Linked DNA regions of Rhinolophus ferrumequinum. The protein of the gene in region 1 interacts with the protein of each later gene in a pairwise test. Links are inferred from orthologs where the notes say so. Each region holds a gene or a part of one and is shown in the gene's direction. Other genes may lie near its edges. The genes, in order: HMBOX1, ASB7, WT1 and C14H8orf33.

Evidence for each region.
Region 2: the proteins of HMBOX1 (region 1) and ASB7 interact in binary tests that used the Homo sapiens proteins (3 or more experiments, as listed by UniProt). The two-hybrid records come from large-scale screens. The link is inferred for Rhinolophus ferrumequinum from reciprocal best matches to the Homo sapiens genes HMBOX1 and ASB7.
Region 3: the proteins of HMBOX1 (region 1) and WT1 interact in binary tests that used the Homo sapiens proteins (3 or more experiments, as listed by UniProt). The link is inferred for Rhinolophus ferrumequinum from reciprocal best matches to the Homo sapiens genes HMBOX1 and WT1.
Region 4: the proteins of HMBOX1 (region 1) and C14H8orf33 interact in binary tests that used the Homo sapiens proteins (3 or more experiments, as listed by UniProt). The two-hybrid records come from large-scale screens. The link is inferred for Rhinolophus ferrumequinum from reciprocal best matches to the Homo sapiens genes HMBOX1 and C8orf33.

What each region holds. Positions count from the first base shown.
Region 1 is NC_046301.1:29,851,771-29,859,460, forward strand, and holds the start of HMBOX1 (homeobox-containing protein 1), read left to right. Parts: upstream 1-4,686; 5' UTR 4,687-4,971; intron 4,972-7,690. Other genes in the region: INTS9 (integrator complex subunit 9), read right to left, coding at 4,177-4,185. UniProt on the Homo sapiens protein: Binds directly to 5'-TTAGGG-3' repeats in telomeric DNA. Associates with the telomerase complex at sites of active telomere processing and positively regulates telomere elongation.
Region 2 is NC_046311.1:12,375,634-12,383,559, forward strand, and holds the start of ASB7 (ankyrin repeat and SOCS box protein 7), read left to right. Parts: upstream 1-4,920; 5' UTR 4,921-5,430; intron 5,431-5,598; 5' UTR 5,599-5,693; intron 5,694-7,926. UniProt on the Homo sapiens protein: Probable substrate-recognition component of a SCF-like ECS (Elongin-Cullin-SOCS-box protein) E3 ubiquitin-protein ligase complex which mediates the ubiquitination and subsequent proteasomal degradation of target proteins.
Region 3 is NC_046294.1:25,032,258-25,039,672, forward strand, and holds the start of WT1 (Wilms tumor protein), read left to right. Parts: upstream 1-4,395; 5' UTR 4,396-4,774; coding exon 4,775-5,216; intron 5,217-7,415. UniProt on the Homo sapiens protein: Transcription factor that plays an important role in cellular development and cell survival. Recognizes and binds to the DNA sequence 5'-GCG(T/G)GGGCG-3'. Regulates the expression of numerous target genes, including EPO.
Region 4 is NC_046297.1:73,371,252-73,377,866, forward strand, and holds C14H8orf33 (UPF0488 protein C8orf33 homolog), read left to right. Parts: upstream 1-4,151; coding exon 4,152-4,157; intron 4,158-4,245; coding exon 4,246-4,291; intron 4,292-4,390; coding exon 4,391-4,572; intron 4,573-4,766; coding exon 4,767-4,851; intron 4,852-4,993; coding exon 4,994-5,140; intron 5,141-5,508; coding exon 5,509-5,648; 3' UTR 5,649-6,106; downstream 6,107-6,615. Other genes in the region: ZNF16 (zinc finger protein 16), read right to left, coding at 3,840-4,153.

The sequences.
Region 1 (7,690 bases):
TGAGGCAGTCAGGCTCATTCACTAAGGATTATCATTAATCTTAGAGTAGCATTGAAATTTGTGCCTCAACAAAATTACAAACAGTTCCTGGTCATCGATCTTTGGGGTCAAATATAATAGTTCAAATGGCAAGTATTGAAACTTTGAATGCCAAGGGTATATGGTGGCTGCATCTCTGTTGACCGAATAAACCAGAAGATTCTATCTTGGAACTATATATAGGAAGGATGACATGCTGCACTCTTGAACTGCTTCTCACTATTTTATTTACTTTAATCTTCATCTATTTGAATGACTAAATTCCTGGCCATGATGTTTCAAACTCAATTTCTGGCAATGCATTCACTATTTCTTTTGTTCCATGGTCTCTCGTGAAGGACCCTGATGAAATCCAGTTGCGATCCTTAGCTGAATTGGCCATCAGGGTATACCCAATCAGGCTCAATCTATACTAAAACAGAACAGGCTCTAAAATGTGCTAATTTAGAGGATACATTTCTAATTTTCCTGTTCTTTTTAAAACGATTTTGGTTCACTGAAGGTACCAATGAATTTTCTTCAGTTGAATAAAGCTGCTTGAATACCGCATATTACAGACGGTCATTTCAATCTTTTCAGTTGGTATTTCTCTAAGAAGGAGATATCCAAGGATTGCATTATAATGACATCCATTGTCTTCCCTTGGGTGTATAAAAAGCCACCAAGAGAACGATGTGTAAAGTTAGAGAACTATTAATGGTATCAGAGCTTATATATCGTATAGTATAAAAACTAACGTGGGAACTCAATTGGTATGCTTTGATATGGAACCCTTTATAGTACTAAGAAAGTTTTTTCCCAAACTTTAATTTTTTACCACTAATCTTTTTGAAGAGCTTAATTTAACCAAACTCCCATTTAAAGCCAATTTAAAAATAAATAGCCTTGAATAACCTTTTTCTCAGTACGCACTCTGGCTTCCCGTCTTTGAAGACAGAACCTACGGAGCACATGTCACGCACCATGCAAGGTCTCAAGTCTTTGCCCTCAGTAAGGAACAGACGCTTAAGGAAGGACACCTGGGTTCAGATCTTGGCTCTCCCACGTTTTTCACCTGTGTAACTTCAAGCCACTTCACCTCTCTGAGGCTCAGATTTTTATCTGTATAATGGGAATACGATCACCTAGATCAAAGGACTGAAAAGGGAAACTAATTAGTGAGTACCTCCAACAGTGCCTGGACACAGTAATTGCTCCATAAAGGGCAGCAATTTTTTTTTTTTACTCCAATGATTATAGCTTATTGTAATGTTTAAACTTTACCCCTCAATCTTTTCTCAGTGATATTCACAGACCTTGATAATCCTTCAGAGATGATTCATTCAACTGCTATTTAGCAGCGTCACACTATGTGTCAGGCCCTGGGAATAGAGAGTCTACAAGAGGGAGGACAGAAATAAATCCAATAATCACAAATGCTACCAAAGGAAGTGTGCCATGGAAGCAGAGAGGAGGGCGTACCTAATTCCACAAAACCATGGAGAAGTGCTATTCAAACAGAGACCTGAAGTATATAAAGAAATTTAGGCAGGCAGAAAAGTGTTGTAGGCAATGGAACATATTTAAACTCCCAGAGGCAAAAGACAGCAGGGAGAGTTCAAGGAACTGGAAGATGTGCAATATAATTGGAACACAGAGAACCAGGGAGATGAGGGCTAGACATGAGCCTGGAAGTAGGCAAGGCCATATTCTGCAGGACCAAGTAAGTCAAGAGCTATAAGACTTTATCCTAAGAACAAAGGAAGCTACTGAGGGAATTATAGAATTCTGCAATTTAAAACAACTTCCGGAAAGCAGGGTAGTGAATGAACTGGAGAGAGGGTTAAAATGGAACGCAGGGAGACTAGACAGAAGGTCTCGTTGAATTTCAAGTGTCAAGTGAAAAGAGTCCCTACAAAGGCAGTATTAGTGGGACTGGAGAGAAACAGACCTGTTGAAGAACAGAAGTAGCATCAACAAGATGCAGTCATACGCTGTGAGTGGGAAGGGTATTTTGGCAAGTCATAATCTCAAAAACAAGAATGTGCTCAATAAAGTATATTTCTGTGTTTCATGATATAAATGTAAAGCACTGCTTACAACATATTCTTGAAGCAGTACACAAAGTGAAAACATTTAGGCCATGGGAGGATTTATACCAACTCTATGGGAGGCGTGTCACACAAAGAGACGTCTAATGAAGTCCATCTTTTTGAAACCCGTTTGCTATGTTGACAGAAATTCTGCATTACCACTTATCCAATCCCAAATGAGTTTTAACATGGAATACATCGATTGAACGTTAAAAAGGAGGGACCATAGACAGAACACCTCCTCTTCCTCTGAGGCATCTTCTGGTTCTTACAGAAAAGAAAATAATTTCTACTTTTTTCCCTTCCATGTTTTCACATCTCTAAAGAAATGAAGCGGGAGGATATTATGAGCAAACCAAAGTATATTGAAAGTAAACCACGGCTCTCTGATAACCTCAGCAATCGAGTTTGTAGGGAAAAACTGCATCACATTTGCATGCCTTCTCACCAGGCACACCAAATGTGATTTATCCTTTCTTGAAGACACATGGTCTGTGCTCCAACCATTTCGGCACAAGCTCTTTTGCTCCTAAACTGAAGATTCAAGGAAGGCCCTCGGCTACTCATCCTTCTTATCAGTTCAAGAGTCACTTTTCCAGGAAGCTGACTGTTGGCACCACGCCCCCCCAGTCCCCGCTCAGCACCATCTCCAATTATCCTCTCAATTCCCCAACCCCTGAAAAGGACTCTGCTTTATCACGAATGCAGTGAATTATAATTTTGGCTTACTTTTCTAACTTCATTAGATGGCATGATTCTTTAGGGCTAGGGTGGTGACTTTCAATTCTGCATTCTTAGGTATTTAGCACACTGACCCAGGAGCAAATTGATAATCTCAGGGTTTCCTGATCTTCATCCTCTTCCTTCCATATAGGACTTTAAATGAAGACAATTTTGTAGTTGAATCTACTTTTAATACTTTTTCTAACTTCTTCTCAGAAAATAGCGACACAGTGACGACACTTGGCTGAGTAAATACATACCCATCACATGGTTTAATGGCCAAAGAGGGGATGAGGGGGATATGTATACTTTGGGAAAACATGTTCAAATAATTATATAAATGGAAAAAGAAAATAAATCTTTTGTTTTTCTATAAAAATCACAGAAAGTAAAGCTTGACAATATTTGGCTGCAGGAACATGATTTTAAAAGGTGTGGCATCTCACACATGCTTTGCTACTCTCCTAATTATGCTATTAATTCCACACAGTTGCAATAAATTAGTTAGGTCTGTGTGCACAATGACAGTAAAATGGCTAAAAAGAAAGGCCTGAGAAGCGTCCCTATAAGCCAGGTGTTTGAGTTTTGTGATGGGAAGACGCCAGGTGTATTGGCACGTTCGTCTAACCTTGGCTCATGAAGCGCCTACAGCCCCAGACTGTAATCTTTTTTTTTTTTAATTTGAAGATCTAATTGGCTTTATTAAGCGATTCATGAATCAGGCAGCCGTCTATCTAGCCACTAGCAGGGCGCTCCTGAATGTAATACGAGTACCTCCTCTCAGCCTATCCATATCCTCCACAGGGTTTAAGACTCAAAGCCTCTAAGAGTACACCCTAACCTCGGCCTTCTCTGACTTCCAAGTGCAATTAGGAATCAATTAGGAACAGAAAACTTAGTAATTACCCTCCTCCCAATATTACCCTTTGCCCACAAATAACCAAATGTTTCTCAACAACGGTAGTGAAATCAAGTGTCAATTGCGTGGAAATAAGTTTATAACCTATTATAACACTCACGTAGCAGCTGAGAAGTCAAAAACCTAGTTCATAAATCCAACCTTAGTTCCTCGGTGAAAAAATGTTACAGGCAACCTCTTATCTAACCAAAGGGACCCACCAAGGATGTGTAAGATCTCCTGATAGTTGTGTATGGGGGGTGGGAGGTGAGGGGTACAGAGGTGTGATTTTTAACCCCCTCAACAACAAACAGCTTTGCTTAGTCCACCCCACTTTCTAGTTTCCTAATTGCCACCCATTTTTCGCGATGGTTCCCTTCCCAAGGTGGAAACGACGAAGCCAAAAGGATATGGCCACTGCCCTCAGTAGGAGCGGAGACTCACCAGTTTCATATTGGACTTTTGATTGTTCAACACCAGTTACTCGACACCTCAAACCCAGAAGCGATCTTCCGGTTCAAGCTCCGCCACTCGCCCGCAGAGAGCATCGCGGGACATGCAGTTTTTCTTCCCTACGCCTCCTTCTCGGGGCATTATGGGATACGTAGTCATCCATGTATCATGGGAACTGTAGTTATCTTTTCTTTCCCTCCCTTCTCTAAATACCTCCTTCCGTCAGCTCAAATTCATCCCCGCCGCCAATTCATCCTCTCCACCCCAGCATGATATCATGTCCCGAGTCTGGGCCTGGGTCCCATGGTATTCTGGGATGTGTAGTTCTCACGGCTCGGGCGCCCCTTTCTCCTCCTCCCTGTGGGAAGGCGGATGGGCGCGGGACTTGCCGGGAGTTGTAGTTCCCTGGGGCCTCTGGACGCTGAGTCGCGCGCTTTTACTCAAGGGAGGCAGGAACTACAACTCCCAGGGCCGCCTGGCTGCAGCAGGTGGGAGCGGGGCTGTTGATATCAATATGGCGGTTGTCAGCCAGACAAAGACAGTCAGTCTGATGTGATTGAGACAAGGGAGGTTTTCAGGGGGAGACTGGGAGATAGGGGCCTCCCCTCCCCCTTCTCCTCTTCCTGCGCGGACCTCAACCCCTCCCCAGTCCCCTCCCGACAGGCGCCCCACGCGGAAGACACCCCTCCCCCTCCCGCCTTCCCCTCCTCCCTATCTCAGCTCTTCGTACCGGGACGTTGGGGAGGGGGCTGTGCCGAGCGGAGAGAACTCAGCAACGATTCCGAGGTGAGTCGAGAGGTTTTCAAGCCGGACTACCTCAAGTCTCTTTCCTCACTTCTTTCTCCTCACTTTTTTTTTTTTTTTTTGAGGGGCTTTGGGGCGAAAGTGAGTGGGCTGGGGATAGGTCTCTTAAGCGGCCCGATTGAGAGGAGGGAGGAATCAGGGGGCTCCCGAATGGTGACCCGGTCGCACCGTCTGGGGTGGGGCAGTTTGTGGGGGGCGGTAATTGAAAGGCGTTGGCAGCTCCCCAACTCTTTGCTCCTGGTCTCCTTCACTATGGGCGGAAGGTTTGAATCCTGGAGGTGGGGTCTCCTATGTGGAGTTTGGGAAACTGTGAGGTGAACCGGAGGTGGGTGGGTTTGTTTGGGGGTGTAGAACTGTTCTAAACTGTGTGACGTGTACTTGTGCGATATGTTAGTCTCGAATAAATGTCTGGAGATGGGAAGTTCGATAGCTGGAGCCATAGCTTTTCACTGGGCCTGGGCAGGGAAGCGGGCGTGAGGTCCGGATCCTGGACTTGTGGGCTGGAGGCGACGTGGTGCGGGCTTAGCAACTCGCTTGTGTCCCGTTGCTCGATCGCACTCCTCCTCCCCGCCTCCGCCCCATGCCCTGGACACATCTCCACCCCAAACTGCCCGCAGGAGCATTGTGGGGACGCGCTGGCGAGGAGATGGAATGTTGCCTCCTGAAGTCGGCAGATAAGGTGGGAAAGGAAAAAGTGTTCTTAATATTTTATTCCGGAACCGTGTTTTGGTGACACTGTTGGGGCTACTTTGAAAGGAGTCCTCCACCCACCCTCACCCCGAAACAGCAGGTAGAGGTAGCTCATCTTCTTCGCGTTAAATAGATTAAACATCACTTAAAAGAGTCGTGGGCATGGGTTGGGGGTCGGGAGTGCTGACAGGTGTAGGCATCTCTGTGTGTCTACGAAAGACACAGAATGACTGTTGTCTGTCCTGAGATAGGGCGACTTATTTTCGTAGTAGGGAAAACTGTTGGAAATTATTTGGAGGTGGGGGTGGGGTGGGGGTGGGGTGGGGGTGGGGGTGCGGGAGTCGCCGAAAGCCGCTGTTGGTGTTTTGCTTCTACCCCACCCTGTTCAGTCTCGCATTTGTCTGAAACCTGGTGTGGAAGAGTGAGGAGGCATTTGGTGAGTGAAGGGGAGAATGCAGTTGGCATGAAAGCTACTATACTATCTAAAGTTGAATCGTATAAAGTGATTGCTTTTTAAATGTACCTTGAAGCTGTAAAAACCCTCGTGTTTCATATGGCGTAGAGTGATGTGACTAGTTCATTTCGCTGGGATCCTGCAGGTATAGAGACCTCAGCCTTCCCTTTTCCTTTCCTCCTTCTTTCCTTCCTTCCTTCCTTCAGTCCTTCCTTCCTCTCTTGGCCTGGTACGTTTCTCTTCCTGGATGGACGTAATGCCTCTTGTGCCTGTTTAGTTTGTGCTAAGACGGTTGTGCTGTTTGTGGTTTTGTGTGTAAAACACATCATTAGATGAAAAGGACCTGCGTCTGTTTTTATTTTGCTTTTAGCCACAGGTAATTATCACATCAAGATGAGAGTGTTTTGCATTAAACTTATTTTAACATTGCACAACTAAGTTAGATTTAGTTGAATTATGTGTACAAGACAAGTTTGGAAAATTCGAATTCTGATTTTTTCCCCCCAAGTTTCCAGTAGAGTTATAAAGGGAACAGGATTGTAACATCTCTTGTTTCTCACAGTCTTTAATATTTGGTAACATTACACCAGGATAATTTAGGATCATATATTTTGTACTTCTTTCTGTCTGAAATAGAAGTTTTTCAGTAACCTTTCTCATGTGACAGATTTTTTAGTGCAATGGACTTTTAAATAACTAAAGCAATTGATATAATTTCTCATTCAACTGTTGAAAATTTAGTGTGTTTACATTTTGGCTCCAAACATCAATTCTTGAACTTATCAGTAAAGGACCTTCGATTCCATAAAAACTGAAAGTCACAGAGATGCAATATATAATTTATGGTGTGTTTTATAACCTTTCATTTGAAATTTCTGCAGTTGATCATTCACACAGATAAGCTGACTCTAAGCATGAGATAGCATATATATTTAGATTGACCTGAATAGAAAAAAAAAATTGATGTCTTCTAAATTTCGAATTTCTAATATAGAATATATTGCTATAAAGCTGAGCCTTTAGTTTGTTAAAGACTAAGATTTCCAGACTTTTTAAACCTTCTATCTTAGACTGTAATATTACTTTGCAAAAATTGGAGAAAAATCCTACATAACTTCACAATAGAGTGGTTTTTTTTTTTTTTTTTTTCCGGGCTGAAAGATACTCTGTTAGACATAGAACATTAAAATATTCAATAATTATATTAGAAATATAAACTAAAATGTTTGTTAAGGATTGGAAAAGATAAGAGTATTTTTTCTTCCACCCACCTTTACCTCAGTTTCTTTTTGTTTTTTTCTGTGGAAATGCAAAGTTATGGGAAAAGCTTTCGTTCAACTTTCTCTGTCTAGTCGTCTGGTTGAAATAATTAAAAGTAAACCAAATATTTTCCTTGCATTTGTTGGGATGATTCTGTTGTATTTTAAGCCCTGAGCATTAAAATGATGTAAAGCCTTTACTGCAGGTTAAAGCATAAAACATTCTCAGCATGTGGAAGTCATATGGTTTACGAAAAAAGTAGAAAATCAGGGCATTGGTGCCTGTCCAGCTGAAGAT
Region 2 (7,926 bases), on another chromosome or scaffold:
TGGCTCCTGAAAACAATGCTGCAGTGCCAGATTCTCCAAAAGAAATGCAGTAAGCACCTGCTTACTGAAAGGAGGGCAGGGCACAATCTCAAAGGTGGGAAATTGCATAAGACGTCACATTCATCTCAACAACTCGATTCGGGATCCTAGCTGGCCTTTCATTGGCCCGGATGCAGGAATCAAAGCCAGGCTTGGGGATACATTCACAAGCAGCCTGGATTCGTTTAGACAAGTAATGAAGTAATTTTGTTTGCAGAAAGCGGGCATAACGGAAGGATAGCAGCATTTAACACAAACCTGATCAACAGAACAACTCACATGTATCTTTCCCAGACAGCGCTGTTAAGACAAAGACAAACACAAACTTGTTTACGTACTAGTACAGACAGGTGCTGGGCATTACAATCAGAGCATCTTAGTACCAGAAAAAGAGCTCAGAGATGATCTAGACCAGTGGTTCTCAAAGAACACGATAGGAAGCCCAGACCCAGAAATTGTAATTCGGTGGGTCCGGGGAGGGCCCAAAAATTGGACTGGGAACTACACTTTGACAACCACTGACCAATCTCAATTTTACCGATGAGGAATCTGAGCTCATTCTGAGCTCATTTGGTTTTTCATGAATGCTAAGAATTTGTTTAAAAAATAGAAAATCTCTAGTGTATCAACAAAAAAACTAAAACGTTTCTACTCTTAGTTGTTAAAATATGGTTCTACATTTTAAGTGAGGCTTCAGAATAAAATGTTTCTGCACCCATTCCCTTTCACCAATCGAGGCCCCTTCCATTCCTCCTCCTGCCCACCCCGCCCCCCCACCAAAAAAACCCCACCAAATGTCTATAAATGTGACATTTTACTTAATTTTTGAATTCTGAATACTGTACACACAAAACAGATTTGATTTCCAGTTGAAAAATAAGGTTACCTACCCCACCTCAGCAAAGTAGCACACACTAAAAGATTTGAGAAAGCGCAGGGCTTTTATGGTGAAAACCTTTATACAACTTAAGTGAGAGGATGCCAATACTCCTTTATTCACTCTGAAAGGTTCCTTTCTGACTCTGGACCTTGAGACAATGCTGTTCCCTCTGCCTAGAAAGCTCTTCCACCTACTTTTCCTTTTCTTTTAAGCTTAAATATGGTTTTCTGGGCCAACACACTGGACAGCCTTGAAGAAATAAGGTCCTAGGAACATTCTCAAGACCGAATCATGAAAAAATAGAATAGCTGAATGAACAGATTACTACTAAGATTGAATCCGTAATCAAAAACCTCCCAACACTCAAAAGTCCAGGACCAGATAGTTTCAGTGTGAATTCTACCAAACACTTAAAGAAAAAAAAATGATACTAATCCTTCTCAAACTCTTCCAAAAAAAAAAAAACCAGAGGAGGAAGGAATGCTTCCAAACTCATTTTACAAGGTCAGCATTACCCGGATACCAAAAGCAGACAAAGACACCACAAGAAAAGAAAATTACAGGCCAATATTATCTGATGAACATACACAAAAAAATTCTCAATGAAATATTAGCAAACCTAATTCAGGTTTGTAACCCAATGTGTTAAAAGGATCATACACCATGATCAAGTGGGACTTATTCCAGGGATGCAAAGATGGTTCAACATCCCCAAATCTGTGCATGTGATACACCTCATTAACAAAATGAAGGATAAAAAGCATATGATCATCTCTACAGACGCAGAAAAAAAGCATCTGAGCAAATTCGACATGTTTATCAGAAAAACTCTCAACAAAGTGGTTAAGGAGGGAACATGCCTGAACATAACAAAGGTCCTACACGACAAGCCTGCTGCTGACACCACACTCAATTGTGAAAAACTGAAAGCTTTTCCTTTAAGATCAGGAACAAGAAAAACGTACCCACTCTCACTACTTCTACTCAACATAGTATTGGAAATCCTAGCCAGAGCAATTAGGCAAGAAAAAGAAATAAAAGGCATCCAAATTAGAAAGAAAAGAAGTAAAACTGTTACTATATGCAGATGACATATTATATACAGAAAACCCTAAAGACCACCAAAAAACTGTTAGAATAAACAAATTCAGTCAAGTGGCAGGATACAAAGGCAATATACAAAAATCTGTTGTGTTTCTATACACAAACAATGTCAGAAAGAGAAATTAAGAAAACAATCTTAATCTTATTTACTCATTTACAATTGCATCAAAAAGGATAAAATACCTATGAATAAATTTAACAAAGCAGGTGAAAGACCTGTATAGAATAAGATTTTAATGAAACAAGTTGAAAAAGACACAAATAAATAGAAAGATAGTCCCTGTTCATGGATCGGAGGAGTTAATATTGTTAAAATGTCCGTATTACCCAAAGCAATCTACAGAGTCAATGCAATCCCTACCAAAATTCCGATGGCATTTTTCACAGAAATAGAGCAAATGAGCCTAAAATTTCCATGGAACCACAAAACACCCTGAGTAGCCAAAGCAACCTTGAGAAAGAATAAAGCTGGAGGCACCAGCTTCCTGATTCCACACTACATTACAATGTTACAATAATCTCCAAGCTAACAACCTCAGAATCCAGTTAGGGTCTGTCTTCTGGTCTCTATACTCAAGCATCTAAACGCCCCTGGAGAGTTCCACTCGGGGGTCCCACAAGCACCTTCAGCTCAAACTCAACTCGTTCTATGGCCTCTTAAACGTGTTTTCTCCTACACTGCCCGTATCTCAGTATATGGCATCTGTATCTCCTAGTCACCCAAGCTAGAAACCCAGACGGCCTCCTGGACCCTTCCTCATGCCACCTCTCTCCACCTGCACAGCCACTATTTAGTGCACATCTACCCTGGACACTGCAGCAGATTCCTTGCCTAAGTGGTTATTTCTTGGCCTACTCAACACCCACTTTCTTCTGAAAAAAACCTCTGCACTTTCCTTGGATAAAATCCAAACCTCTGAACACAGCTTAGCGGGCCCTTCAAGATCTGACTCTTGGGGTCTTCTCACCTCAGTGCCCCCAAAACTAAGCTCCAGACTTTCTCGGAGTTCTTTCCCAGTGCTTTGCTTAGAGTCCATTCTTTCTGACTAAATCATACCCAGTTGTCTCCCTCCTACTCTCAACCTTCAACTTGGAAACCTCCAGTCCCCATGGAGCCTTCCATAGATCCAAGCAGGGTTTGAGGGCCCTGCCAATTGCTCTCTCAGCCTATCCCACAGTATTGATCTCACCGCACTGTCCAAAGGTATTTTCTAGTTTGGTTCACACTTGACTGTGAGCTTCCTGGGGCAGGACTGAGCTTGCTTACGTAGCCAACAGGTAGCTCCCATGGGAGGCACCCAAATGAGTATTCTTGAACAAATGAGTTAACAGTGTAAAAAAATATATACCACGGGGCAAACTGAAAGTGTTTGTAGTGGTCCCCATCTTCCACAGAACAACATATTTTATTACATAAAAGCAGCTGATACGTTGAAATCACTTCTTTTATATAATTAGAAATGACATAATTTTCTTTGAAAACGTTGGTGGCAGCCAAATGTCTGGGGTGTCGGACGGCTGAGTCTTGCCTGGACAATAGCCTTCCATAGTTGCAGTCACCCAGCTCCCCGCCAGTCTTTTCCTTTGAGCAGTCAGGGATGCTTTCAAAACATACAGAAGATGCTATAACTTCCCTACCACGGCCTCCAAGGTCCTGCATCGAAGCTCTTCGTCCTACCCCACCCCCCCAAGTGCATCCCCATCCATGGTCCCCCTTCCCCCCTCCGCTTCAATACCCTGGCCTGGCCTTCTTTCTTGCAGTTCCTATAAACAAACGGCAAAGGGTATTCCAGCGTCAGAGGTTTTGTACTTTTGGTTCCCTCTGCCTGCAAAATCCCCCCCCCCCCCCCGATCTTGACATGGCCGGCTCCTCCGCATTCAGATGCCTACTCAACTGTCCCTTGCTCAGACACCTTTGCTGACACTATCCACAGTGGCCATCACGTCCGGGTCAAACTCCATCCCATTATTTCTGCTTGATATTTTTTGGACAGCCTCCCCCTCTGTCTGCTAATTGTGCGCTTTTCTGTCTCCCCGGTTAAAGTGAAAGGTCCACAGGGACAAGTCACCGCACTTACCTGGTTCACCAGAACAGTGCCCGACCCGTAACCACTTGCTAAAATGAAGAAACGCGCTCAGCAAACGGGTCCATCTCGCACGTCTTGCACTCTTTCCCCTTCACTCCCAGGAATCCGTGCGAACCGCTCTCCGCGTAGAAAAGCCCTTGAAACGTCCCCGCCATCCCCCCCAAACAGCCCTCTCTTCCACGTGAGGCGGGGGTACGCCCAGCCTGCTGGCTAACGGGCCTAAGGAATCCAAAGCCAAGCCAAGCATCCCGCCACCGAAAAGCGCCGAGGGGCGGCGGGACGAGGCGCCCCCTCTCTTCGCGTCCTGGCGACTGCCGCCTCCTCCACCTGGAACCCTCGGGCCGTTCTCTCAGTCGGCCGCACACACGCCTCCCCCGCCGCCGAGCTCAGGGGCAGCTCCCAGTTACCTGCCAGGGCTCCATGGCGCTCCAGCCACTCTGCCTTCGCATCGCCATTCGAACGAAGCCCGACCCCCTCCGGCCACCGTAGTTCACGCTGGCCCCGCCTCCCGCATGCGCAGAGGCCCTATTGAGCGTGCAGTGTCTCTTAGCAACCGCTTTGAGTCCCTCCGCCTGGGGCGGAGCATCGGAAGACACGGGGGGGAAGCCAACGGGGAAGTGAGGGAGGCCAATCGGAGATGAATCCCAGCCTCGATCGGCACGCCTCCTCTCACTGTCGCGAATGCGCAGGCGGCTTTACGGCAGGCAAGGGGTGGGGGCTGCCAGGGGGAAGGAGGAGAGAAGGAAGCAACCAACCAACCAAGTCGCCCCACCCCCCACCTCCACCCACCCCGGACCTGGTTTACGGCTCTAGGCTCAGGCTCTAGTGCGGCCGCTGATTGGCTGCTGAAGGCTTGGTCCATCCCAGTGACCCCAAAGTGCTGGAGGGAGGGGGCGGGGGTGGCCCAGTGCAAAGTGCATCCCGAAAGCCCCCTACCTGGATCCCCCGCGGCTGACACTTCGGACCCTTTACGACCCGGGACCTCGCTGCTCCGAGACCTCCCGTGTTACCCGGTAGCTGGGAGCCTCCGGCCCAGAGCGCGGCAGCCCCCTGCTCCGAGCCCTCAGACCCGGACTGCCCCCCCCCAACCCGAGCCGGGACTTCCTCCCTGCACCCCTGCCCCGAGGCTGCCCCGCGGCCAGGACTGCCTCTCCGCGTCTGCTCAGCTGTCTGGATGCTCGCGGGGTTGGGGCCGTGAGCCACCGAGGAGGGTCAGCAACACCCGTGTCCGGCCCTGCTTTGGGGTGCTTCTTCAATGGAGAAGTTGGTGCGTGTGGAGGAGGCTGAAAGGAAGAAGAGAAGCAGCAGCTGAGGAGACAGGTAAAGTCAGTTATGTTCCCCGAGGGGAAGGGGGCTGGCTGGGCGGGAGGAGAATCACTGCTTCTTCCTGCCTGCCTGTACCACTCTCTTCCTTTGCTCTCCCTTCCCCAAAGCCCCCTCCTCCCCGCCCCACGGGCACTGCACCACTCACAGGTTTCTGATTTCCAGGTTTGAGTTGGCTAGAGGAGTCCAGAGAGCAGGAGGAGGTCTGCCCACCCACCAGAGAAGTAGAAGAGAGCTTCTGACCATCATTCTCTATAAAGGTAACAAGCCAGCCCTGCCCTGCCCCGTTGTTTATTCTCGGCCCCTACCTCCTTAAGCAGCGCTCTGTTTTCAGGGTGGTTACCTGGGCATGCAACCCTTTCCTGGCCCCCAGTTTCTCAGCAAAAACAAAAACGCTGCCTTCGCCCTGATTCTTAACATTTTAGTAACTTCTCAACCCCCAAAACGTATTTTCTTCCTTTCTATTTGTATAGTGTTTCCGTGTTTTGCATTATCTTTTTGGTACACTGCACCATTTACCCTGCTCTGAGACTTTGAGACCTTTTTGTAGTTCCCCCCTTTACTCTCATAGGAATTCCTCAATTCCTTCTTAATTGCTTGTTAATTCTAAATGAGTCTGCTTTTTAATTAAATCCCAGTTTTCTGTTTTCCCCTTAATCCTTCCTGTCACCTTTCCTCTACCTCCATCAGAATATCTTTTGAGTTCCCTGACTGACAAGGGTTTGGGAGAGGAAGGTACAGTAATGACCTGAAATTTATGAGTTTTGGAAAATAATATGACTTTTTCGTAGTGGAAAGTGAATCTAATCCTATGAAAGCAGTAGTCTCCCTGAAGCACTTATGTGTAATTAACACTTCAGGCTTTTGTGTGTTTCAATGTGACAGATGTAGATGGGCGTTGAAACTGTTACAAAAAGATAAATAGTATGTTGCACCTCAGATTTTCTAGAAAAACTTACAAAACTTTACATAATATCTTGTTACTCATTTGACACTCAAGAATTTAAAAACAAAGGAATGTTTCAGTGTGTTTAGAACCTAAGGCTTTCTCTTTGCACTCTTCATAAATAAGATTTCTCATTTCAAAACCCTTACAGAGAATTTGTTAGATTGAAATGTAAGCATCTAATTCGTGTGATCACATTTCTACTACTATATGTTGTTGCTGCCTCTGAAAATACACTAAAGGTAAGTTTAGGACATTCGTGTAATTTCTAAAGAGGGGATATTAGGGAAATTATATGAGTTAATTCAGAAATTAGCCGAGTGAATGACTTCTAACATCCAGTAACATGAGTATAAAGTGACTTGTTAATCTCAGAGTTATTTTAATATCTCAGATTGTTTAGGGAATTTTAGGTACAAAGACGTACTTAAAATAGCAGAAGTTGTTAGGAAATCTTAGATTTACTCTGTTCCACTGGTCTTCCTGCCTTGCGTAAAAAGAAATTAACGTCTTCCATGATTCTTCTAATTGTCAAGACATAGTTAAAGATACTTTTAAGGGGCTCTGAGGGCTTGTATATTCTTGAGACCTGAAACCAGATAACCAAAGGAGAGTGTGTGCTACTGAAAGGGGTTGAAAATGAGTGTCTACCAATGGCTGTCCCACAGTGAATTATAGGCCAGCCTTGATAAGTGTATGTAGGGTCCACTTCATCTCAGTAAAAGCGAGGCTGAAGTCTATAAAGTTAAAGGCAATTTTCATTATTTAAGTATGTGACTCACCCAAATGCAGCCTAATGATTAGGCCTTTTAAAAAATGCTAAAATATTTGAAGTGTGTTTTGAAGGTAAAAGCGAAGTATGTAGTTTCTATTCAGTCCTTCTTTGTTAAATATTTTGTCTGCTTTAGATTTCCGTCTAGTATATTTTCCTGTCTGCGAGGTATCATCACCTGAGATGATAGGGAGTAGGTCTGTGGTGAGTCAAGCATATAAGGTAAAGAGAGTGTTCCCCCAGCCAGTTCATTCTCATTGCTTAAATGATATTTCATTGATTCTCTCAGCTTTTAATGCTTTTCCTGAGATTAGGGAATATATATCTAAGTTGTCAGCATCTGTTTCCAATATTAGCATGATTAAGAATAGCTGGTCTAGGTTATGCCAAACATTTAAAATATTTAATTTGGGTACTTATTTACCAACATGGCCAGTTAGGTGGTTTATGTTTTTCAACCTGGCACTTAACTTTGTGTTAATTCTATTGCCAGCCACATGGTATTGAAAGCCAAAAAAAAAAAAAAAAAATCAAACCACCTGATGAATTTGATAACCAAATATAGATTTATAATTACATAGGGAACATAACTGATTTTAATTGAAGATAGTCAGTGATGCATTTTGAATGTGCTATGGCCAATAATTATTTTCTTTATACCTAAAGTGACACGGTTCACAATTACTTACTATTAGGACACGAACAATATCTATTTTGTTACATTTAACTTTGGTAACACAGAAGTACATACTATCCCTAAAATGTCTAAAGTCAG
Region 3 (7,415 bases), on another chromosome or scaffold:
GTCAGGAGTTCTAATTGTAACCTCAGACTGGAATTCCAGATGGTGCGCTCAGGACTGGAAGCAACTCTCAGTTCATCAATTTCATGGGCCTACGTATCTGCTCTGGCCACGGCCAGGCCTCCATCCCCACTGTGGCATTAATGCAGAACAAATTGAGACATATCCTCTATATAATTAGTTCCAGAATTTAAAAAGATTTACGATATAATAATAGAGGCAGCGCTGCAGAATCCTTTCATTGGGGACTCTCTGGGAGCTCCGGGACCATTTCGCGGTGGCATCAGAACAGACGGGTAACCCTGACGGTTCCAGGCACCGCGAGCTGGGGGACAGGGGGAAATTTTGCACTGCGCACCTGGTAGTGCACACCCATCCTGGACCCCCAAACCCGGTCAGAGAATTAAGTTTGAAACGTCGATGGGGAGGATTGGTCAAAAGAAAGAGTTAATTTTCAAATTAACAGCGGAAGCGGGGTGGGGAGGTGGGGGTGGACTATAACAAAAGTCCCTCCTTTATTATTATTAGTTATTATTATTTTTTTAATTTAAAGAAGTGTAGCTGGGATTTCTACCACTAGCACGGTGTTGGAAAGCAGCCTAAGCGCCTGACCAGCGGCCCGGGGTAGGGGTAGACAGATTCTTAAGAGCTGGAGTCTGGAGTCGGAGGGGAGGAGAGGAGCAGCGGTCAGGCTATTGGAGCTGCGCGTGGATCTCAGGGCGCTGGCCCCTGCACTAGGCACCATAAAAGTCCCTGTTCCTCCCGGCGCGGGCAGGCGACCCCAGCTTTTTACAGATCGCAGCGCGTCGGTGTGTTTACTCAGTTGTCTGCAAACGGGGGTGACGCCCGTAGCGCAGCCGGGTAGTACTCGCTAGTCTGTAGGGCCGCGGCTGCAGGGCCCTGCTCTGGGCTTGGTGGGCTGCAGTTGACAGCGCGGGGTCAAAGTGAAGAGTTTATAGGTCCTCACTGCCCCCTCCCACTCAGTCGCGATTTTTTTGATCTTGCAATAATTAAGCACCTTCCAGGCCAAGATGCGCTTTACCAGTGTATCAAAGCCACATGGGTTTCCAGCCTCTCTCTCTTTCTCTTTCTCCCCCTCCCTTCCCTTCCCTCCTCTCCCCTTCCTTCCTTTATTCTCCATTCCGTTAGCTCGAGAGAGGCAGAGGGGTGGTGGTGGTGGGTAAAGCCCTGAGCTGGACGTTAAGAGACCTGGGTTTTCAGCTTGGCTTTGCCACTAACTTGCTAGTATTTTTGAACAATAATAGTAACAAAAATTGTAACGTTTATTGTGTACATAGGCCAATACAATCGTCCTTCTAATCCTCACAACCCCATATGAGGTAGGCGCAAGCATCACATTATCCCGTTTGACCAATTAGGAAACTGAGGCTCAGAGAGGCTAGTTTAGGAAATCTAGGGTTACACCGCTGTTGGTTACCTGATAGAGATGATATTACATTCATTCTCTGGCTACTAATCCCTTGCTCTTAACCACTGCACTCTACAGCTGCCTTTCCTCCCTATGTCTGGGCCTCAGTTTCCTTCTCTGTAGAGTGAGGAAATGAATTTCCATTTCTGCCAATCCGTGAAGCAAATGATCCTGTGCGCCACAGGCTTTAGCGCTGATCCCACTGGGAAGGTGGGTGAGAGAAAGCAGCGGCCAGGTTTCCGCAGTCCCTGTTTCCCCCGGACCACGGGTGGGCCTCGACCTACAAGAGGTGCAGCAGGTGAACTTTCCTCGCGGCCAGACTGTCAGCCCCTCCGACCAGCTCAGCGAGCCGATGGTAGTGCGGCGGGCGCAGCCGCCTGTGTAACCGCAGAGCTCCCGCAGAGAATGTTACCCATGAAAGGGAGCAGTGGGGAGCGTGGGGCGCCCTGCAGCCGCAGTACTTTGCGGGTTCCCCGGCATTGGCGTAGGGGCTCCCAGGGTTGGGGATGGGTAGGGGGCGTTCAGAGACTTCCTCTAGGGTGAGGTCCTCGGACCTCCCGCGGCTCTGGACGAGCAGCATTTACTTCTTCGCGCTGAGGAACTCCTTGCAAGGAACTCCTCCCACCTCCTCGGACTACGAGGTCGAGGCGAGGGAGCACTCCAGGGTTGAAATGGGGATCTCTCCAGGATTTGCTCGACTCCCCTTTTCTCTTACCCCACCCCTGGGCAAAAACCTTTTTTCCCCCCAGTTATACGTAAAGGCAGAGAGTTAGGCGCCTTTGCCCTATCTATAATTCAAAAACACAAAAGCTCACATTCAAGCTATCCTCTTTCAAATACCACCCCCCTTAAAAAAATTTTGCAAAGGAGAAATCTCGACCTTTTCGTTTGGAAACAGATCCCTGGCTTTCCATAAAGCGGCTCGCTTTCCCTCGTAGAGCTTGAGAGAACACTAGTTAAGAAAAAACGACTTCAAAGTAGAAATAAAAGTGGGAGGTGTGAGACAGGGGTCTAAGGCGTTCTAGGGGCAACATGGCATGAGAAGTTTCGTCTCAGGGGACTTTCTCCATCAAAATGACTAATCGTGCACGTTCTCTGTCTAGCTCTGGATCCCCGCGGCCGGCTGAAATGAGGCCTGCGGGAGAGGAGTGGGTGGCCCACAGAGGGTGTAGTGGGGAGAAGGAACTGGCCTCTAGAGCCTTTTCATTTCTTCAAAAAGCTTGAGTGGAGACGAAGCAAAGCCAGACACTAAAGCAGCGCAGAGAGGTGTCCATGACTGCGAAGGTGAATGAGGGTGCAAGAAGGTAGCGGGTGTTCCCGGCCTTTGCGCTCATGGGACTCCTGCGCCCCCCGAAGGAGCGACCCCAAGAGGAGGGGATTGCGCTTAGCGTGTAGGTCCAGGGTCGGCACACGCTTTCGAGTTTGTAGCCAGAACACGCCGCTACTTCGTTTACTCAAGGCAAATTAACTAAAACCAAAGTGTAAGAAACCGTGAAGAAACCGTCTAGGCTTTCCAAACCGTGGCATTTTTGTAAAACTGCAACTACCTTGATTGTTGTTTCACATGGGCTAGGCTGGAAAGCTGTGGGCCCTATCCCCTGCCAGCCTGGTGTAGGAGACCTGGCGGCAACCGGTCGCTTTTTGCTCGGAGCTACTGGTGGTCCCAGGCTGCGCGGTCGCCGCTGCCTCCTGGCTCTCTTGGGCGTTTCCACGCGCCCCTGAAACGCACTCCAATCCGGATTCTTGGCGCTTCTCCTTGCCTAGCGTCAGTTTCCCGATAGATGCTATTTCTTTTTTTTGGGGGGGGGGACACAGAACCTCAAATACCTGCTCTGGGACCCCGGGCTCCCAAACAGTGACTAGGTGGAAGGAGGAGTCTGATTTGGCGATACCAGGCGCTTGGAGCTCCCAACCGTAAGAACACTGTGTGGGACCGTGGGCCTTTGGAGGCTCTCCTCCTCGGTCTGCCTAACCGACTTGCCTTCTGATCGGTCATTGTGAATCCAGAATGGTACTGCCAACCGTGGATGAAAGCAGAGCTCGGCAGGAGCGGCTCCAAAAGCCACCCTTCCCTGGGGGCTTTGTACCCAAACCCTGCCCACTCCCCAACCTGGGCGCCAGCATTCTCCGGCAGGAATATATGCAGGCTATAGGAGTTTCCCTGTGTTTTATTCCCTCCCAAACTAGCCGCTGTTTTCCTGGCTTCACCGTAGAAGAGTCAGATACTGTTAAGCAGAAAGGGAAGTTAAGTGCAGATGACACCGATTTTAGGTAGGCAGCAACCTCACCAAGTAATCAACTACCAGACGATCGAAATACGCCCGGCTTATCACAATTGATGCAATCCCTTCTGGTCATCCACGTTCACCTTGAGTCTGGCCTTCGGAACCCACAAGGGGCTTCCGCGCCCCCCCTCCGTGACCCCAAGATTATGACCACTACTCCAGCCCGATGGTTCTAGGCGCAAGAGCCGGACTCGCGCGCGCTGAGCAAGGGAATCCGCCTCTTTGGAGTCCGGGGAAGTTCTCTGCGCTTTCCTGAAGTTCCCGCCCTCGTGGAGCACCCCCTGCCCCTCCCTCCAACCCGCCCTCTCAGATTAACAACCCCATCCCTACCGCCGTCATACACGGATGCAGAGGGGCCATTCACTGCTCACCTGAAGAGACTCGTCAGTGGCTCGAGGCGCCCACACTCACGAAGGCCGAGAAGGGGAGGTAGGGGGAGGGTTGTGTCCCACAGGCCAGCTAAGAGCGCGTGGCGGTTGGAGAGGAGGGTGTCTCGGAGAGGGACGCTCCCTCAGGCCCGCCCTCCCACCCCCACTGCGAGGGCGCCCCAGAGGAGCCGCGCGCGCTGCCTGGACCCGCTTGGGCTACGGTGTGAATGGAGCGGCGGAGACTCCTGACTCCTCCTCCTCCCACGCCGCCGGCCCCTCTTATTTGAGCTTTGAGAAGCTGGGGGCAGCCAGGCAGCTGGGGTAAGGAGTTCAAGGCAGCGCCCACACCCGGGGGTTCTCCGCAACCTGACCGCCTGTCTGCTCCCCCCTTCCCACCCGCCCTCCCACTCATTCAGCCACCCAGAACCGGGACGGCAGCCCAGGAGCTCGGGCCCCGCCGCCTCCTCGCCGCGATCCTGGACTTCCTTCTGCCGCAGGACCCGGCTTCCACGTGTGCCCCGGAGCCGGCGTGTTCGCACACGGTCCGCTCCGGGCCTGGGTGTCTTCCGCAGTCCGAGCAGCCGGGGATCCGGGGCCCAAGTAGCATCTGGGCCAAGTTAGGAGCGACCGAGTGGAGCACCGAGAGTCTGCAAGGCCGGAGGGGCCGCGGGCCGTCCGGGGCCGAACTACAGCAAATGGGCTCCGACGTGCGGGACCTGAACGCGCTGCTGCCAGCTGTACCCTCGTTGGGTGGCGGCGGCGGCTGCGCCCTGCCTGTGAGCGGCGCCGCGCAGTGGGCACCCGTGCTGGACTTTGCGCCCCCGGGCGCCTCGGCTTACGGTTCTTTGGGCGGTCCTGCGCCGCCGCCGGCCCCGCCGCCACCCCCGCCACCGCCGCCTCACTCCTTCATCAAACAGGAGCCGAGCTGGGGCGGCGCGGAGCCGCACGAGGAGCAGTGCCTGAGCGCCTTCACTGTCCACTTCTCCGGCCAGTTCACCGGCACAGCTGGAGCCTGTCGCTACGGACCCTTCGGTCCTCCTCCTCCCAGCCAGGCGTCCTCCGGCCAGGCCAGGATGTTCCCCAACGCTCCCTACCTGCCCAGCTGCCTCGAGAGCCAGCCCGCTATTCGCAACCAGGGTAAGCAGGCCGGGGAGCGCCCCCTACACCGGGGGCGGTGGCGAAGGGGCTATTGCCGTGCCTGGGCACTACCCTGTCCAACCTCTTTCCTGACCCCAGCTCTTACCTGGCTGCCTCCCCAAGGACTGTGAGGGTAGCGGAAGCAGCAGCTGGGGAGAGAGGATTCCGGGGAGAGGGAGTACGCTCCAGCGTGGGATCCTGACTTTCTCGGGAATCCGACTGTTCGCACCAGCCGGGAGGTCATCTGGGGCCCCTCCGACCCTTGGAGATTCCGGTACTTCAAATCCCCGTTAGAGTGGGAAGGGGGAACTTGTGCAGTGTCTAGGTTCGTCTCAGAAGGGATTTTGTCGCTTCACCAAACTGTCACTAGGCATTGGACTTTTTAGGCGTTTCGACTCTGGATTCTGGAGTGGGACCCGCGCAGGGTGAGCAGCCCGTGCCGCCTCCCTCGCGCCAAAATGTGCAGGCGCCGCTCTGGCTCTTAACATTAGATGCTCGATAAGTATCATGGAGCACTAGAAGGAGTACATGAGCGGGCTAGCAACTAATCAGTGGCTTTCTTGGAACCACCTTGTGTCCGAGTATGGCTCCCCGTGTGGTTGTATGGCAGCAGATCTCTTTTTGGTTCCCGCTCAGGTGGTGGCCAAGCGGGCTCCAGGGCTGGAAGAGGACCCCATTTGTCCGATTACAAGCTGTGCGGGACCAGGTCCTATTATAGGCAAAGCAATGAGGCTCTAGCGTCAGGCGCCTCCTCATCGTTGAATGCGGGGCTCAGCCCGGGGAACGATTTTTGCAAGACTTGGGGGGTAGAACAAGGACAGGTTTATTTGTCGTTTTCAGTCTTTGTACATCGCGGGTCACAAACGTGAGTTTTCTCATCCTGCGCTGGCACCTGCACAGCTCTTTCTCAGGAACCAGCCAGGCCGAGCCCTTGCTGTTTGGTTTCGGAATTTATTCTAATTGGACTTTTCCGCTATTGAGAACGCAAACCAACTCCGGTTGATTCGATATTTTAGGAAATTCTTTACAGACACCATGGCAGATGCTTTTCCTGGAGCAAAATTTCGCACGGGCCTAGGGACCGGGATGTTTCTGGAATGCGTGGGATGGGAGAAGCAGAGTGCGTACTGTTTGCAATAGGTTCCGGGTCTCCCAAGGCACGGAAGAAGGTCTCTGTTCTTTACCAGGAAGCGCTCACCTTCTAAACTCGTATCTCCAGGCTGCCTGTCTCTACCTTAGGGCCAGCGAGGAGCACCTGGCCCACCAGAAGTCCTGGCAAAAGCTAAACCACCCTCCTCCTCTCTTCATCCAGGGAATCTGGGATCTGTGACCCATGGAGGAATCTTAAGCAGACCCATGGGGTTTCTCCACTGTAGGTCTCTGTAAATGAAATTAGTGTTTCAGATTCAAGGGGTGTTGGAACAGCCCAGTGCCCGTGGTGAGGCTTGTGTTCTCTTATCCTGCCACCTCTAATGAGCAGGCTGCTGTTACCTTTGGCAAATCTCAACGTCTCAGTTTCTCCATTTGTAAGAGAGGAGCTGTGATGGGCAACCCGGAAACTGGGTCTGGCCTGAATCTCTGTGCCATAGATGCAGAAGTCCAACTTTCCCTGGGCTTTGCCTTCTAAATACAGAACGCAGAGCAGTCCACCTAAACTTGACTGGCCTGCCTTCTGGCTAGGACTGGCAGGCAGGTGTGTGATGAGAGTGAGTCTCTCTATGGATGTGTGCTATGTGGAGAGGCCCGAGAAGTCATTTGATCGATGTACCCCCCTACCACAAAATACCGTGCCATTATTTATTTGAGTCTATCTAGGTACTGTGAAGATTTTGGAACCTGTGTTCTGTCGCTTTGTTTGGGCCCCTGTATCCAGTCTTCCACAGAACAGGTCTGGTGCCCAGGATCCCATTAACCCACAGTGGGGTGGGGTAGCGGACTGGAATTTTAACCAAAGCGCACACTACACTTAAGCGGAAAATCCAAATTCCTTTCTAGTAGATAGGCCCTGCAGCAAAAAAGAAAAAGGTTTGAGAACTGGGGACCAGGACTCACAGGTGAAGGAGTTCCCTCCTCTCCACCCTAAGGAAGAGCCCACTGGAGGGCTGGTCCCAGACTCAGAGCCACGGCCTGTAAACCTGGTTCTGTTTACAGGCTTAGGTTTTCTCTTGCAGTGAAAACATAAATGGGTCACTGGACCAG
Region 4 (6,615 bases), on another chromosome or scaffold:
GTGCACTCTGGCTGAAGGCTTTCCCACAGTCACTGCATCCATAGGGCTTCTCTCCATTGTGTTCTCTCATGCTTAATTTGGGTAGAGATCTGTCCAAAGGTTTCCCCACACTCACGACACTCATAGGGCTTTTCACCAGTGTTAGTCTTCTGATGTGAATTAGGTGTGAGCCCTGACTAAAGGCCTTCCCACATTTATGACACTCATTGGGCTTCTCTCCATTATGTACCCTCTGATGCTGGACAAGGGACGAGAGCACGCTGAAGGCTTATTCATACTCGTTACATTGATAGGGCTTCTCACCATTGTGTGTTTTTCGATGGAGAATAAGATTAAAACTATGGCTGAGAGCCTTTCCACACTCCTTACACTCATAGGGCTTCTCTCCAGTGTGATTTCGCTGATGCTGAATAAGATGTCCTTGTTGATGGAAGGTTTTTCCACTCATGACATCCATAAGGTTTTTCTCCAGTATGGATTCTCTGATGCTGAATAAGGGATAGACAAGCACTGAATGACTTTCCACAGTCACTGCAGACATAAGGTTTCTCTCCAGTGTGAATCCTCTTATGTTCAATAACTTGTGGGCGCCGATTAAAGGCTTTTCCACATTCATTACACCTATAGGGTTTCTCTCCACTGTGAATTCTCTGATGAACAGTAAGGCTTCAGTTCAGGCTAAATGATTTTCCACATTCATAACATTCGTAGGGTTTTCCCCATGTGTGTCATAGACCCCAAATGCATGGGCTTGATGAGATAGAAGTTTGTTTTCCTCATGTGGCAGGGTCCCTGTTTGGTGGGTTCTGTTTGACTTGCTTGTTCGGAGGCTGATTTTCTGTCCTGTTCTCTGCTGTCCTCTGGAGCAGTGTGTCTGACACTAGTCTCACGGACATGTCTGTCGTCAGACTCCGAGTGGAGGCTCTGGCCTGGCCACATGGTTCCACTCACATTGCACTGGTGAGAGTTCCATTATGTGGCCACACAGAAACCAACAAGCTGAGTTTAAAATTCATATGGAAATGCAAAGGACCTACAGTAGCCAAAATTACTCTAAGGGTATAGAATAAAGTTGGAGGGAGGCCTAATACTGCCTGATTTTAAGAGTTTTAATAAAGTCTCAGTAGTCAAAACAATGTGGAGTTAAAGACATTGTCCACAGTGTACCAATGGAACAGAACAGAGTCCAGAAATAAACCCACGCAGAGATGGACAACTGATTTTTGACAAAAGCACAAAGACAAGGCAAGTGGAGAAACGATAGTCTTTTTAAGAAATTGTGTTGGAACAACCAGACATCCACCTGTAAAAAAATTAAACTTGAATCCATGCTTTACATTAGATACAAAAGTCAACTCATTACGAATTGCAGACTTAAACATATCACCTAAAACTTTTAAATTATAAAATTTTCTTCTAGAAGAAGAAAATCTTCTGAGTTAGGCAAAGGTTTCCTAGATAGGACACCAAAAGCACAATCCATAAAAGAACAAACTGATAAACTGGCCTTGATCGAATATTAAAACGTCGGGGCAGTCGACTTGCTCAGTTGGTTAGAGCGTGGTGCTCTTAACAACAAGGTTGCTGGTTTGATTCCCACATGGGCCACTGTGAGCTGCACCCTCCACAACTTGACTGAAACAACTACTTGACTTGGAGCTGACGGGTCCTTGAAATACACACTTAAATAAATAAAACTGTTTGGAAAAAAATTAAAACGTCTTCTCTTCAAAAGACACTGTTGAGAGAATAAAAAGACAAAGCACAGAGTGGGAGAAAATCTACACAAACATGTACCTGACAAAAGACCTGTATCTAGAACATTCCTGTATTCAGAAAGGAACTCCTTAAAACTCAGTCAGAAAACAAAAACCCAGCTAAAGAATCAGCAGAGATCTGCACAGACTCTTCACCAATGAAGAGAAAGAAGGAAAATCAGCACATGAAAAGAATTTTAACATCTCCTTGTTTGGGAAATTCAAATCAAAACCACAACAGATGCGACTGCCCCTCTACCAGAGCAGCTAAAATGAAAAGGACTGACCACCCCAAGTGTTTGTGAGGACGTGGAACGTGAAATGGCAAAAGCACTGTGGCAAACAATCAGGCCTTGCTCTAAAAAGGTGAATATGCACCTACCATATAATCCAGCCATTCCACTCCTAGTTATTTATCCAAGAAAAAAGGAAACGTATGGTTATCCAAAGATTTGTACACAGATGTTCACAGCAGCTTTATTTGTGTCAATTAAAAACTGATAGCTATCCAGATGTCAATCAAAGAATGGATAAACAAATAGTGGTATATTCATTCATACAACAGAATACTAATCAGAATTAAAAAAAAAAAAAAAGAATTATCGACACCCAACGCGGATGAATCTGAAAATAATTGTGTCGAATCAAAAAAAGCCAGACAAAAAAGAATCCACACGCTGTAATTCCGGTGAGATGAAACTACAAGATGTAATCTACAGTGATAGAAAGCAGGTCAGTACTTGCTTCAGGACAGAAGAGGGAAGGGGTGAGAGGGAGGGATTATAAAGAGGCAGGAGATTAACCTTTGTAGAAAACACAGCTGGCAGTTCTCTGAGGTTTGTCATTAGAATGTGAGAAGAGCCACACAGCTTTTGCACAAGACTGTTCAAAGAAGTGTGGTTTACTTTGAGAGCTATTGCACCACTTCCGTGTGGCAAACAAATGAGATCTCAACAATTCTTTTTTGTATTTTTTATTTTTATGATGAGTCTTCTTATCAATGTACAGAGACCAGCTAATTTGACAATGAAAAGAAAAATGCATAGACTCAGCTATATGCTTCTCCATTCATGAGTGCTCTTCCCGAGATCTTCTCTAGCTAACTTCACCCGGTCTACAAGATGAAGAAGAGGAGTGAATAAATGATACCCACCCACACACGATAGTGTGCTTGCTTAGAAGTTCCTGTGTGAAATGGAATCATTTGAAAGCACCTGGGATGTCTTATGAGTTTCACAGGATTCTCTTCTTGTTTTCTTTTTAGAGCGATAATAACATAAATTTAAAAGCAATTACAGTTTGAGGCACAGTTATGTGCCTGTATAAGAAAAATCTCTCATCTCTTCTGCATATTATAATTCTTATGTGGGTTAAAAAGAAAAATACTTTTGTAATGTCTTAGAACTCTCTAATAGTAAAAAGTGCAAGAATTTCAAAAAAAAAAAAAAAGAGACACGAGAAAACTTATGGGTAACCGTTTCTATCTTGATTGCAGTGGACAATGTCTCATGAGCATGCACGTGTGAGAATGCGACCGAACTGTACACTTTCGATGTGTACAGAACATTCTCGCTAACCATACCTTAATAGAGTGTTTCTAAAAAGGAAGAAAAGGGCATGGGGAGTCCGGCCAGTTTGCCAGGGACCATCCCAGGTCAGTCCTGGCCAGCAGTGACGCTGGGCCAACACCCAAAGCTCTCTGTGCGCCTGTGTCCCGAGCACCGACTCTGCAGAGACAGTGGGAGGCTGCGTTAGTTCACTGCGCCCGCCACCTCGCTCGGAATAAAAGCACCCAGGGCCCTGCCCCCACCTCCTTCTCGCCGGGGACCAGCCCCACCAGGCCTGCCATCTGTTGCCTCGGGAAGTCCTTTTTTAAAAGTGCCAGGCCGTCTTACTGTGATTTTGGTAAGGATTATATATAGGCTTAGCTTGAGGAAAATCAGTGGTTTTACAATATGAAATCTTCCAATACAGTAATGCAGACTGTCTCTCCCTTTATTCAAACCTCCCTTTAGATTCCATGGTATTTATCATTAAGCTTATCACTCTGGTAGTGCTTGCCCCGGAGGGATGCCGACTCACCGCCTGTGTTCACAGCGCTGCGCGGGGCTGCGTGACAACTTTTCACGTGTCTTCACCTGCCTGTCTCGCTCCACTGGGAGGTGAGCTTTGGGAGCCCGCGCCCTCGTTTCGGGCGCTGCCCTTTCCTCCAGGGCGCGGCCTGCCACGTGGTACACCTGCTCGGGGGTCTCCTTTGCGCCCTCCCGCGTCCCGTCCCGCCCCGCAGCCGCTCGGCCCCGCCCACCGCGCCGGCGGAACGCTGCGACGCGGACGCGCTTCTGGAGGAGCGAACTAGGCCTGGGACCCGCATGAGTTCCGGTGCGGCCGCGGGGCATGGCGGTGAGCGGAGCAGAGTGGGGGCGCGGGTGGCTGGGCCTCCGGGCCTGGGCTGTACCCCGTGACCTTCTTGTTGCCTCCCTCTCTCCAGGCCCTAGGACACCCTGCTTGGGAGACAGCGGCGGCACCAGGTCCAGGTACCGCCCGCGCGCCGCGCAGCCCCCGGGCCTCCCGGCCGCCGTCCGGCGCCCCGAGTCCTTCCACTCTAAGGTCTCATCCGGTCCGTCTCTGCTCAGGGCACCCCACGTGCAGTGACGCCGCCTCCAGGGCGCATCCCGTAGTCGGTGAAGGCGGCGCAGCTTCTAAGAAGCCGAAGAAGAAGAAGAAAACCCGGAACGGGGCCTCCGTGTCGAATGGAGACGGAAAGGCCTCAGAAAAGCATGCCCCGGAGGAAGCTCCTCTAAGCGCAGAGGCCCAGGCAAGGGCAGTGCTCAGTCGGGAAGGGTGGGGTCCCCGGGTGCATTCTAGGTGCGAGTCCTCCAAGCGGTTGTGGTCTCGGATTTGCGGAGTTACGGCAGAGGGATGGGATGGGGGTTTTTGGGTCCCTTGCGATGAGGGTGGAGGCCGCAGTGTCCTAGTACCCTCTCAGCCACTGTCCCCAACCCATCACAGGCGGAGCAGCTGGCTCGAGAACTGGCCTGGTGCGTGGAGCAGTTGGAACTGGGCCTCAAGACGCAGAGACCCAGCCCAAAACAGAGTGAGGAACCCTTCTGTAGAGTTGGGGGAAGGTGAACGGTGACAGTGCTGTGTCCTGCCAGTGCCGCCAAGGGTTGGAATAGGTGGTTTTGCGTTGGAAATGAGGATAGAGGAGGTCCCTAGTCCTTTGTTTTTGTCGGCAGGGGAGCAAGCTATTGGGGCAATCCGAGCCCTGCGCAGCGAAAGAACACCCCTGCCCCGGAAGAGGCAGCTGATGCGCTCCTTGTTTGGGGACTACAGGACTAAGATGGAAGCCGAGTGGCGCGAGGTCCTGCGGGCTCTCAGGACTGGTGAGGAGCTGGGAACTGGTTAATTCAGGGCTGCGTAGTTCAAGGGGGTAGGGAGGAAGAGGTGAGGCAGTTAAAGGAAGACTCCCAGAGCTACAGGGCCGGTGAGGGAAGGAGACCGGCTCAGGAAAGCCTGGGGGAGCAGGGAGAGAAAGCCTGCACCTCAGGAGCACAGAACTCGGGCCTGTGCCAAGGAGGGAGGGATAGGAGAGTTAGTGAATTTCTCTGTGATGTTAAGTGAGGTGTGATAATACCTGCCTTATAATTTTGAGAAGTAGGTCAGTGAATTTATACAAAGAGGTTACCGTCGTAGGGGCATAGTTAACATGAGCTGTTATCACTCAGTTCTGACACGCTCCCCTCCCCCACAGCAGCACACTCAGCCCAGGTGCAGCCTGTAGGTGAGGCCACCAGAAAGAAGAGCCGGAGGGTTTGCAGGCCTCGCCTAGCAGGGGGAGCCAAAGCAACCCTGGACACTCCTGATGAAGAGTTTAAGTTCAATTTCTTTTAGCCTCTCTCTCCATCCTGGTACAGTCCCCTTCCCCAGGTGGTGTGGGGCTTTGTCCCCCGTGCGGAGCATTTCCAGGAATGCTCCGTTGGACGGATGTGGGATTGGCCTCTCCCCGGCTGGTCGGTGAATGTGGTTCCATGGATGGTGGGCAGATGTGAGACCAGTGTATTAAGTAGTGTCATACAAGCACAAGACCCTATTAGTAGGATTTCAGGTGAATGGTTCCTCCCGCCCGAGAGGAAGGTCCATCTAGAGAGATTTCTACAGCAAACTGAAGTGAGTGGCAGTGTGTGGTGGAAAGAACGTCTTACTTAGTTTTCAGGGTTAGATTAAGTGGCTGAGGGTGAGGGGAAGCTGCATAATTGCACTTTGGTGCTCACTTATGAAAGGCCGTCCTGTCAAATGGGGTAGTGCTTTATTCCTTTGTGTCATATTGCCCTAATAAAACTGTTTTGTTGTAAAAATTGATGAATGAGCGTGTGTGCTAATTGCCTGTGTTAGACCAAGTACAGATGATGCAGGTGTCTGGCACTGCTGGGCCCAGGCGCTCAGCCCAGCTGTGGTGCTTGGTCTGTGTTGCCTTCATTCCTGGGCAAGTATCCTCAGGGAGCCAGTGTGGCCCCCCAGCCGGCCAGGCTTTGTTCTTAGAAGCAGAGAGCTGCTAGCCCTAAGGATCCTGGCGAGAAGCCTGGATGGAGCCTCAGTGAACGACCTCTGAATATTGGCTGCTCCACGTGGCCGTACAGGGCTTGTGCTTTATTGAATCGGCTTTCCCAGGTGGCTTAAGCCTCCTGTGGCTTGCAGGCCATATTTGCTGGCATATCCCAGACCAGACAGATAGCTGGAGCCCAGCTGTGCACTGTACAGCTCTACTTTGACGTTTCATAGGCATCGTTGAGAACACGGGATGAGCCCCAAATCCCCCTTCGTTGTCTGCTTTTCAGGGGCCGGTACTACTGCCCAGCCG